2 linked regions of the Canis lupus familiaris genome follow. The protein of the gene in region 2 purifies or fractionates together with the protein of the main gene of each other region. This does not show direct contact. Links are inferred from orthologs where the notes say so. Each region holds a gene or a part of one and is shown on either strand. Other genes may lie near its edges.

Region 1 (5,592 bases), on a different chromosome or scaffold from region 2:
ACCACCCAAGTCCCTACTCCTTCTCTACTTTTCTTCTCAAAAGCACCCATCATCTAACTTGTTTATCTGTCTCCCACTACAGAAATATGTTTTGTTCAGTGCAATACCCAGTACTTAGAACTCTGTCTAGCCAATAGAGAGGCTCACGAAGGAATGAATACAAAGCATTAAAAGCTATTTCCTGGGCAGCCCGGGGTGGCTCAGCAGTTTGGCGCCTCCCTTCGGCCCAGGGCGTGATCCTGCAGACCCGGGATCGAGTCCCACATCAGGCTCCCTGCATGGAGCCTGCTTCTCCCTCTGCCTGTGTCTCTGCCTCTCTCTCTCTGTCTCTCATTAATAAATATAATCTTTAAAAAATAAATAAATAAAAGCTATTTTCCTACACATGCAATTTTTATTTTAAAAATTTTATTTGGCAGAAAGAGAGTGCGCATGCGCACACATACACAAGCAGGGGGAGCGGCAGGCAGAGAGAAAGAGCAAGAAGCCTGACATGGGGCTCGACCCCAGAGTCCTGGGATTATGACCTGAGCCAGAGGCAGATGCCCAACTCACTGAGCCACCCAGGTGCCCCCACACAATGTTTTAAAGTGTAATATTTACAAATGTATTCTTATAGCCTTGGTACATAAATGTCTGAGGTGTAACGCTGATTCTTTGTACCACAAAACTATTTACTAGAACTCATCTCGTCTTGTTTAAAACAGGCTTTCTGGATAATATTAAAATGCACACTACCTTAAAAAAAGTCATGAACCCAGAATAGAAGCACATCTAGTTTTAATAGCTGGCAGAGTATACTTGTAGAAGGAAATTTAAGGCTACACAGTGAGTGGTCAAGATAAGAAGTAGAGACCACAAAGTGCTCTCTTATAGTTTTCTCACTACAGAAACACACTACACCTCTCCTGCTATTAAGTACTCGTGAAATTTAAAATTAAAATGGCAAAGAAAGCAGCTCTGCCTTCTCTAAAGCGCGCAGGGTAGAAAACCAAAGGCTGTCAAATGAAAACAAATCTACGTCACCACAAAGCTACTTCTTAAAAAATTTCCGGGCAGCCTGGGTGGCTCAGCAGTTTAGCGCCGCCTTCAGCCCAGGGTGTTATCCTGGAGACCCGTGATCGAGTCCTGCGTTGGGCTCCCTGCACAGAGTCTGCTTCTCCCTCTGCCTGTGTCTCTCATGAATAAGTAAGTAAAATCTTTAAAATTCTTCACTGCCCATTGATAAGGGTCTCGGAAGGGGTAACGACAAATCCCCACCTGCTGTCTGGGAAGGCAACTACTTGCTAAACCAGGAGTGATCATGCAAAGTAAGCCAAGACCGGATGACAGTGACTTCCTCTGAGCAACCTGCTCTTGCCCCTTGTAAAACCTCTCAGTGGAGGACTGGCGAAGCTATGTAATCACCAACCTTTCGCTGTGGATGCCTGAACACATTTCCCAGTTCAAGTAAGCATGTCTTAGGTAGCAATTCCAGACCGAACTCCCCATAAGCTCCTCACTGCTGCCTCATCATTCACCCCAGGGGCCATCACTCCCAGCACTACTCCCAGCACTACAGGGTTCTGCCCATTTCACAGAGCTGACAGGGGGAGGCCTTCAGGAATGTGATCACCCTCCCACCCACAGACACTATATATTACTGTTGCAAAACAAACCAAACAAATTTAAGTTCTCTGGCAAAATTCTTGGCAATACAACCTAAGTTCATGAAAAACAGTTTCAAAACGTTTTACAACTGTGGACAATGAAAATTAAAAAAAAAAAAAAAAAAAACCAAAAACCTAAAAGTAAGTATTCTGAACTCTATTGTACCATTTATACGTTCACCTCTGTAGTCCCCTCTTCCTGAAACTAAAAGACTATCAACTGCTCAAGAGGAGAAAAATGCTGAAGACTTCCGTCCCACTGAGGCTGGTGGGAACTGCAGATGCAGGAAGCTGCTCCCAGCACCAGGGGCCGCTGAGACCCCGACAGGCGAGCGGAAACACCATCCTGAGAGACTCAAGTACAAAATCACACACTGTAATGACACACACACCCCGACTCCATGGACTTCACCTCTGCAGAATCATGAGCTACCTCACACAGGTACGCTCAAAAATACCACAGGAGACTCTGGTCCTCTAAACGGCCAATCCTCGAAATTCAAAAACGCCTGTATACTCGGAGGACAACAATCCCAAAGCAAAAGTAAACTTTCCAGAGTTCAGTCTACCGGCGTCATCAAAACAAAAACGACTCCATCAGCTCTTGCAAAGAATCCAATCTCTCCAATCGCTATACCTGTTTGGAAAAATAATGCGAAATTCACGAATGCGTTTAATGTTTCACCGCACGGACGTACAAACAACCGCAGGTAGCGTCGACCACGATCACCGGCACAGCAGGACAAAGGCTACAATACAAGCGCGTGGGTCAGAGCAGGTATTTCACACAGCGGGATGCTGTGGTAACTAACTACCGGTTTACACAACTAAGGAATCTGAGAACGATTACTCTCATCATACCAGAAGGAGTCTTAAGATCACTGCTGAAACGACTCCAAGTAATCTTCCCACTTTATCGCACAAGTCCCTTCTGTCACCGTAACCCTACAAGAAATCCAATTTTGCCAACAAAGTATTTCTCTTGACCAGAAGGGTCTTCTCCTCCACGGAGCGTCTGAAACCCCGCACTAGGATCCTTGACCTCAAAAGATGAAAGAAAAAAAAAAAAATGTCCTTATCCAGAAACAAGGGAAAAAGCAGCAAATGGAAACCCTCCAGGCGCCAGGGCTCCTTCTCCTCGGCGGCCTCCCTCGCGCACACCGGGGGCCCGGCCAGCCCAGACCAAGGCCCGCTCCGCTGTGCGAGCGCCGAGCGGCCGCTAAGGGCCCCCGCGTCCGAGCTGGCGGGGACCCCTCCCCGGGGCCCGAGCCGGGCTCCCACGACCGCGTCCCCGCCCCGCGGCCCCCAGGCGCCGGGCCGGGCCGGGCCGGGCCGGGCGGGAGCAGCGAGCACGTGCGCACGGCGAGCCGCGTCCCCGCGCCGGGTCAGCGCCCGGGGTCCCCCGCCCCGCGCGCTCCGCAGAGGCGGCCCGGGCGGACGGCGGCTCCGCGGCCCGGCAAGGCGCGCCGCCCTGGACGCCGCGGGCCCGAGCTCAGGCCGCGCACGGACCGTGCCGAGCCCTCCCGGCCCCGAAGGGCGGCTTCCCCGCGCCCCGAAAACAAAGGGGCCCCGCGGCCGGCGCTGCCCTCGGGGCCGCGGCGGGGGCGGGGGCGCGGGCGGCCGCCCGGGAACAAAGCGCCTCCTGACCTTCAGCGCCGCAGCGGGGCGGGGGTCAGCCGCGCCGCCCGCTCCCCCCGCCGCCCCGGGCCCGCCGCCCCGCCGCCCCGCCCCTGCCGCCGCGGCCTGCCCCCCCCGCCGCCCCGGGCCCGCCCCCGCCCCCGCCGCCCCGGCCCTCGGCGGCCGCGGCCCCTCGCCGGCAGCCCCAGCGCGCCATTACCCAGCCGAGCGCCTCGCGTCCGCTCCTCACGCCTCCTGCGGCTGCGGCAGTGGCGGCGGCGGTGGCCTCGCTCGCTCCAGGGGCTGCGCCGCCGTGGCCGCCAACAACACCGCCTCCCATTGGCCGAGCCCCCTGGCCCCGCCCTGCACAAGCAAGACGGCCTGCGATTGGGCGGACTCGGCGCAAGTCAACTACGCTTCGGCGCCGCCGGCGACGGCCCATCAGAGGCCGCGACAGGAGGGGTGGGGCGTCGCGCTGCGTCGCGCTCAGACCCGCGAGCTGTATGTAAATAAGGCGTGTGACGTGTACGGCGGCGCGCGCCCGCGTTCCTTCCGCCTCCTTAAGGGGCCGGGGCGCGCGGGGGACACGTGGACGGCACCTGCCGCGCCCGCCGTGCGGCTCCAGCTGCGCGCCCGCCCCGCAGACCCCCGCGGCCCCACCGTCCACGCCGCCGCCCCCCGGGCCGCCCGGCCTCAGCGCCCGCCGCCCCTCTCCCCGCGCGCGCCCCCCCAGCGCCGTCCGCGTCTGTACAGGAGCACCGGGGCCGGGCCGCACCTCTGCGCAGTCGGGCGCCCTCGACACCGGGGCCCCCGGCTGGGCCGCCTCCCCGCGCTGCTGGGCGGCCGCTGGGCCCAGGGCACCGCGTTCCCCCGGTCACTGGGAAGGCCGGCGGCGAGGGGGACCCGCCAGGCGCGGAGAGCGCAGCAGAAATCACGGCCTTGTGGTCGGCTTGTGGTCGGCGGCCTCCCAGCCCGCTGCCGCCTGGTCTCGGGGCTGCCCCCCCCCGCCCCCGGGGACGGCCCTTCCTCGCCCCGTCCAGCTGCAGCCCCTCCCGCTCGCCCCCAGACCCGTCTCCATCTGCACACGGCCTGCCCATGCCACCAGGTTAGGGCGGCTGCAGGGGCCTCATGTTAACTCCACGACAGCTGCGCAGGTACGGGGGGCTGGGGCTGAGTCTCTTGGGGCTGGCACCCGCCCCTGTGCACACTCAGTCATCCTGGCCAGCAGGCTGGGCAGGGGACCCAGAAGTAAAAGGGCAGGTTCCTGGCCCAGAGCCCCGACCTTCCCAATTCTAGCTGGGTGGCCTCGACAGCCTGTGCTGCAGTTTCTCCACCTTCAGTCATGGGCACTTGTCATACCCCCTTCACAGGGCTGGTGGGGAGTTGGAACAACACTGGCCAGTAGCTTGGTGCTGGTGTCCACTGCTCTGATGCCCCCACCCCGGGGCTAGAGGAGGGGACTGAGTACCTGAGGCTACCTGAGGCTCTCCTAAGGAGACTGTCCTATGAGTGGCTTAGCCTGAATCCTGCTCCAGAGGACATCTGGGCCCTGCAGGCCGTGGTGTTCAGAGTGACCGGGAGCAGCCACCCCCTGAGGGGCCAGAGACCTAGCTCCTGGGCCCAGTGGTGGTCCAGACACTGCGTGGAGACAGCAGGCCAGGCGTGGGCACCATGACTATATTTTGTCCCGTTATAGCCATAAATGTATTTACTAAGATGACGTGTTAAGTCACAGCAAATGTATTTTTTTGTTGAAGAGAACTAAGGTACGAGAATGAATGTCTCCTGTGGTTTGTGGGGCAGCCACTACAAAGTACCCTGAACTGGTGGCTTAATCACAGGAAAGTTCTTTCTCCCAGCTTTGGACAGTAGAAGTCTGAAACCCAGGTGCGGGCAGGGCCGTGCTCCCTCCAGAGGCTCTAGGGTGTGGATCCCTCCTGCCACTTCCAGGTCCTGGGGGCTCTGAGTGTCTCTGGGCTGGTGGCCAGGTCCCTCCTGTCTCTGCCTGTCCTGCATGGCCTCTTGTGTCTGTGTCTCTCCTTATAGACATCAGCCGGGTGGTGCTTCTGGCCCACTCCTGTGCGAACACATCGTGACCTAAGCACACCTGCAAAGACCCTACTTCCAAATATGGTGGGTTGTGGAGTTCTGGCTAGACAAGAATTGCGGGGGGGGGGGGGGGGGATACTATTCAACTTAGTACAATGTCTGTTCTGGAACCAGCATTCCCCTGTGCCCACTGTCTACCTGTCAGGAAGTGGTCCCTGTGGGATGGTCTCCCTCTGCTTCCAAGGGGGGGGCAGCTGCTCCTGGCCTGGAGTTTCTG
Region 2 (5,674 bases):
GGAGCTTCGCAGCTCGACGGCGAGCCTTGCCCCTACGGGCCTTAGGTGACCTCAGGGAGAGCAAAGCTCTCCGGGCCCAAGCAGCCAAACGAGTCCTTGATGCCCTGCGGGCCCAAAAGGCTATGGGGCCCCTTGAAGCCCTGCGCGCCATTGAGGCCATTAGGGCCTTGGAGACCCTTCGGCCAGCTGTGGTTCCAGAAGCCTGACTCTGATCACTATTGCCATCCTCTTCGCTATTCAGATGCTTCACCTGCAGCAACAGAGAGGAAGCACAATATTGTCAAACAAAGTAGATGTTCCTTTTCCCTCATCCTCTCTCTTCTGGAAGGCCCCTCTAATCCCACCCCTGGAGTAACAGCCTGATTAGACATTGGCCATGTTGAGTCTTGGGACTGTTTTTCACTGACTTCAATGCAGAAGTTTCATCTCTCTACCAGGCTAGGAACAACCTGAGATGGGGCCTGAGAATTCTCCTCTTCCTATGTCCACCACTGGCCCTTCTTGTACCACCCTGCACAAGTCACCCCACCTTTCTAGGACTCAGCTTCCTTCTCTATAAAACTGGATTACTTTCAGGATTTAATGAAATAACCTGTATGCATGTGCCTAGCTCAAGGTCTAACACATGGTAGGTCCTATGTAAATACAAACTACATTAACATTGCAGCTAAGTATGTGTACTATCTCAGTTCTCCATGACTCTGTGAACTCTCTGCAGAGAGAAATGATATCACATTCCTCTTATTGTCCCCCTTAATCTTGATGAGCACAGGGAACTTTCTAAATGTTTGCAGAACAAATGGACTAATGAAGAGAAGTGGAAAGGGAAGACTGGTGTTTATAGACGTCTTACCTTTCTGGCTTTCTTGGCCTTGACCTTGGGCCGAGTATCCTGATTCTCCTGAGCCTGGGCAGCCGCACCATCAGGCTTAGGTTCATCTGCCAAAGCCTGAGAGGCAGGAGCCTCAGTCTCCAGGGCCTTTGTACCAGCCTTTATATCAGCCACACAGCTGACCTTTTTGGTTTCAGTGGCAGGCATTGTCACAGGCTGAGGGTCAGCACTCTGCATCTTGGTGTCAGCTGCTGGACTCTTCTTTTCAACTGTCAGAACCTGGGTATCAGTCAGCTTAGTGGTAGGGGAGGCCTGAGTGGCAGCCACCTCCTGAGCCTCTGGGGCCTTTGAGACCTCTGTGGCCTTTGAGACTCCTGCAGCATTTGAGACCTTCATGGCTTCTGAGGTCTCTAGTGCCTTTGAGGTCTTCGGTATCTCTGAGACCTCCAAATTATGGGTCACTGTCAATAGGGTCTGTATCTTCAAGCCACTGTCCTCTGAAGCTTCAGCCTGCAAGAGGAAGCAGGAAAGCTCACAGACCTTCTCCCCATTCCCAACTAGGAAAATGGCTCCAAAATTCCAGGACCTCACTTCTCTGACCTATACTAACTCCTACTTACAGTGAGCTCTGCCCACCTAGACCCAACAAGGCCTCTCCTTCCTCTGAGCAGGAAGTGATGGCAGAAGAAGGCAGGCCTGCCCTCCCTCCCTACTTCCTTCCTCCATCCTTCATTCTTCCTTCTTTCCTCCCTCCCTCACTCCCTCTACTGGTGAGGGGGGGCACCCAGGAAGGAAAGTGGGTAAAGGACAAGGATGGGAGGGGTGGTACCAAGGGAACTGAGGCAGCAACGCGCTGGAGAAGAAAAGTAGTAAGGGAGAGGACAAAATGAGGCCTTACCTGGAAGCGGGTTGGACCCGTACCTTTCTCGCTTGTGTCAGACATGTCTCAAGTTGGCCTGGCAAGAGCTGAGCCTGAGGAGAGAAGGCCTGTGTCAAAGGGCCTGAACGTCCTCTCTCCTGTTCTGCCTGGAAGCTGATCCTCACTTTCCCTAGGGCCCCAAACCCAAACCCCGCCCCCGCCCCCAATGACTCCGTTCTCGGATTCAGTAATCCAAAGCTTCTAGATCTCAATTCTCTGCAGCCGCACCCTCCCCTTCTCCAGGAAGATGTGCCAGCGCGGCAGCTCTGAGGACCCCGCCCCTTTTCCCAGTGCACCCCCCCTCCAGCCGCAGACCAACAATGCGCATGCGCGTTCGCTGCGGAGGCCCACCTCAGCCCCGCCCGCTTTCCCAGCACAAGCTCTTTCTTTGAAGTCCACCATGCACATGCGCATTCGGCAGCAGCCCGTCTCCAGGCTGGCTTTCCTCTACACGCCCCTTCCTAGCAATCCAGAGTGTGCATGCGCAATGGTCCGGACTCCGTCCACCGCCCTTTCTCAACACAAGCCCTTCTCCAGGTCCGCAGTACCATTTGGTCCCGCCCCCTCCCCAACAAGCTTTCTTCTAAAATTGTCGCAGTTTGGTGGTCCCGGCCCCTCCCCTACTCACACCCACCCCAAGTCCACACTATGGCCCTGTCCCGCCCTTTTTCACAACACGCCCCCTCCAACCAGGGGCAAAGCGCATCTTGGTTCCGCCCCTTCCTTAGTACACCCCCTCCTCAAATCTAGAATGGAGCCAGTGATTCCATTTTAGGCCCAGCCAAACCGGGTCCAGTCCCCTCCCTTCCCATCCGGATGGATCCGGTACGATCCGGTCCCTACAGCAGGTTTTCTCCAGATATGAGAGGGTGGGGCCGATCCTTATTGGGCTGTGATCCAGAGCCGGGCTGGGCCCCACAGCTCACCTCCTTCTCCTTAAGTTCCAGAGTGCGTCCACGCTCCAAGCCCCTCTAAAACTCCTAGACTGCCCTCCCTGCTCCAGGCCGGAAGTGGTCCCGCCCCTTTCCGCCTCCCTAGGGGGGCCTCTGTCGCAGCCAGTCTGCCCTTCCCCCCCGCCCCCCGCTGATCCTCATTCCTTATCACCCCCGTATTCCCTCTGCCTTGCTCCCTGCTCCCTATCACCCCTCGCATTTCCTATTTTACCCCACAGAATTCCTTATTCCTATTCCTTACATCCTATCCTGTGTTACCTTTGCACCCCCTTCCCTAGTACTCCTTAACCCTTCTCTGCATTCCCTATTTTCTTCTCTGGATTTCCACTTTCCCTCAGTATTCCCCTCTTCCTCCCAGTCGGTCACTCAACAAACCCGGTTCCCCTCCTCCCCACTAGTCTCAGATCGCCAATCCTTACCGCCTACTACCCTCAGGAGTCCTGATTGCCTACATCCTGCTCCAGGTCATCTCTCCCTCAGCTGCAGTGGTGCAGTATGGATTGCCCACCTGCCTGGCTATAGGTTCGAGGGAACTGAAATCACTGGCTGCCAGGAAACCCAAATCTCAACGCCCCTCACCTTGTCCTCCAGCAAGTCCGGGATGAGTCTGCCCTCTCTCAGTCCCTCTCGAAGTCTCAGCCTCCTGGACTAGAGCTGCAGCCAGCCCAGCCCAGCCCCTTTCCGCAGCCCCCTGCCACCCCCCTCCTTCCTTGGGGGTGGGGCAAGGGGCCCAGCTCTGGGCTGTCTGACGCCAAAGCCCATGTTTATGCCACTGTACCAGGCTCAGTCTGCAGACCTTCGAACTAAAACCACCGCCTCAAAGCGATTCATTCACTGAATGTATTTATTTTCGTATCTTTATTTTTTCTTATTACAAAGATAATCATGTGAAAATTCAAATAATGCAGAAATGTGTAACATACCAATGAAAGGCCACCCTTATCTCATTTCCCAGAAATAACCACTATTAACATTTTTATATACAGTCCTCCAGATTTTTTTCCTATTCATTACTAATTATTTGGGGTTTCTCCCCACAAATGGTATCCTACACCTACTGTTCCATGACCTGTTTTTTTTCCAGTTATATATTCTAAACAGCTTTCTATAGTGCACATTTTTCTTAACAACTTCATATTATTATCTTGTATAGATGGCCCATAATTTATTTAACCAGTCCAGGATACATGGCTATGGACATTCAGATTGTTTCTCTCTCTCTCTCTCTCTCTCTCTCTCTCTCTCCTATTACAAGCAATGCTACAAGGAATATTCTGCATCTGTATATCTGTATTGAGCTTTTTTTATTTGCAGTACTTTTTGCTGACTAAAATGCTACAAAAAGTCTTCCATTTGATAAGAAATTTGTCAACTTACTCTCAAAAGGTACATGGGAATAATGTTCCCACCAACAATGTCTCTCATATGCTTGTGTTACAAATATAACAAATATTTTTCATGTTATTCATGATAACCTTTGCTATACAAAAGGATTTAATTGTTATATGATGAAATGTATCAGGTGTTCCTTTATCACGACTGGATTCTGCTTCATGCTTAAAGATGCTTTCCACACTCCTATAACAATCCCTGTTTTTTCCCAAGCACTTTTATGGCTTTGATATTTACATTTAAGTATTTGATTATTCCAAAATCTGTTTTGTAAAAGGACTCAGCTTAATTATTTTCCAAAATCACTGTCTCTTATCCTTACACCATTTGCAAATTAATCCATCTTTTTTCCCATTGATTTGACATGACACTTTTATCACATAATAAATTTACATAAGTAATTGGGTCTATTCAAGAGAACAAAATAAGATGTATAAATAATGGAAAGTAGACAGAATTATCATTAGTTACTGAGTATATGAATGCAGACCTGGAGAACCCCAAAGCATCAACTAAAAAGTTATTAGAAACCATAATAAAATTCAGCGTAGTGGTCAGTTACAGAAATAATATTCAATACCTTTCTTACACTCAAAAGTAATTCAAATGGTCATAAGTCTAGTGCTTTATGAGGTCACCTTTTCCTTTACTATAATAAAATATCAATCCCTACATTCTATGGATAATTCTCTCTCTCTCTCTTTTACACACACACACACACACACACACACACACACACTTCCCACACAAGATGGGCCTCTGTTCTCCTGATTCCTCTCTTTCTCTCAATTGTTGCTTCCTCCAAGTTTTTATCAGTTTCCTAATTTCTTGTCTCCTAGATTCTCTCCCCCATCCACAAAGGCTTTATTTCACACTAGACACCGCTCCTCCTTGCCTTCCAGTTCTAGTACCCAAATTCCCATTGCTTCCAAATCATAGCTAGCCTTGAAGGCCAAGGTAAGGACTTTGGTCTTGATCTTGAGAGCACTGAGAGGTTTTTGAAGGGGTTTAGGCTTTGATACAATACAGATTTGAGTTTTAGATAGAACACCCTAGCTGCCTAATCAATAAGAAGTATAGATTAGATGTCTACCTGGAAAGAGATAACTTAGTTATCTAAGTAAGCAATGATTGTGTTTGGCCTAGAGTGGTAGCAATGGAGGTAGTGAGAAATGATTGACTTCAGAATATATTAAAGAAGTAAAAAGGGGCAAGACTTTATGAATAATTGGGTGCGAGGAAAGAGGTAAGGAAGAGGGAAGTATCAAAGGGAACTATTGGGGATCTGATTTGAGAGATCAAATGTGTCAGTGGTAACTTATTTCACTGAGATAGGGAACACTAATAGAGGGGAACTGGACAGTGATATTGAGATACCTGTGGGACATCCAAGAAGAAATATTCCATAGGTAGTTGAATATACACATCTGAAGCTCACGAAAAATGTCTGGACTGAGATAACAGATCTAGAAGTCATCAATATATAAATGGTTCTTTAATCTATGGAAAGGAAAATAGCACCTGAGAAGAATGTGCAGCCTTAGAAGAGATGAAGCCTAGGATAGAGCCCTGGAGACA

The links. The genes of interacting proteins can lie anywhere in the genome.
Region 1: the proteins of MAGED2 (region 2) and NAP1L4 purify together in Homo sapiens (affinity purification with mass spectrometry; 3 studies listed by BioGRID and IntAct, counting the BioPlex papers as one, with this or other methods). This does not show direct contact. The link is inferred for Canis lupus familiaris from reciprocal best matches to the Homo sapiens genes MAGED2 and NAP1L4.

What each region holds. Positions count from the first base shown.
Region 1 is NC_049239.1:47,403,213-47,408,804, forward strand, and holds the start of NAP1L4 (nucleosome assembly protein 1-like 4), read right to left. Parts: upstream 3,624-5,592; 5' UTR 3,487-3,623; intron 2,657-3,486; exon of another isoform or gene 2,511-2,656; intron 1-2,510. UniProt on the Homo sapiens protein: Acts as a histone chaperone in nucleosome assembly.
Region 2 is NW_023330544.1:39,504-45,177, forward strand, and holds the start of MAGED2 (melanoma-associated antigen D2), read right to left. Parts: upstream 3,414-5,674; 5' UTR 3,284-3,413; intron 3,198-3,283; exon of another isoform or gene 3,103-3,197; intron 2,771-3,102; exon of another isoform or gene 2,678-2,770; intron 2,296-2,677; exon of another isoform or gene 1,805-2,295; 5' UTR 1,776-1,804; coding exon 1,731-1,775; intron 1,343-1,730; coding exon 854-1,342; intron 251-853; coding exon 1-250. UniProt on the Homo sapiens protein: Regulates the expression, localization to the plasma membrane and function of the sodium chloride cotransporters SLC12A1 and SLC12A3, two key components of salt reabsorption in the distal renal tubule.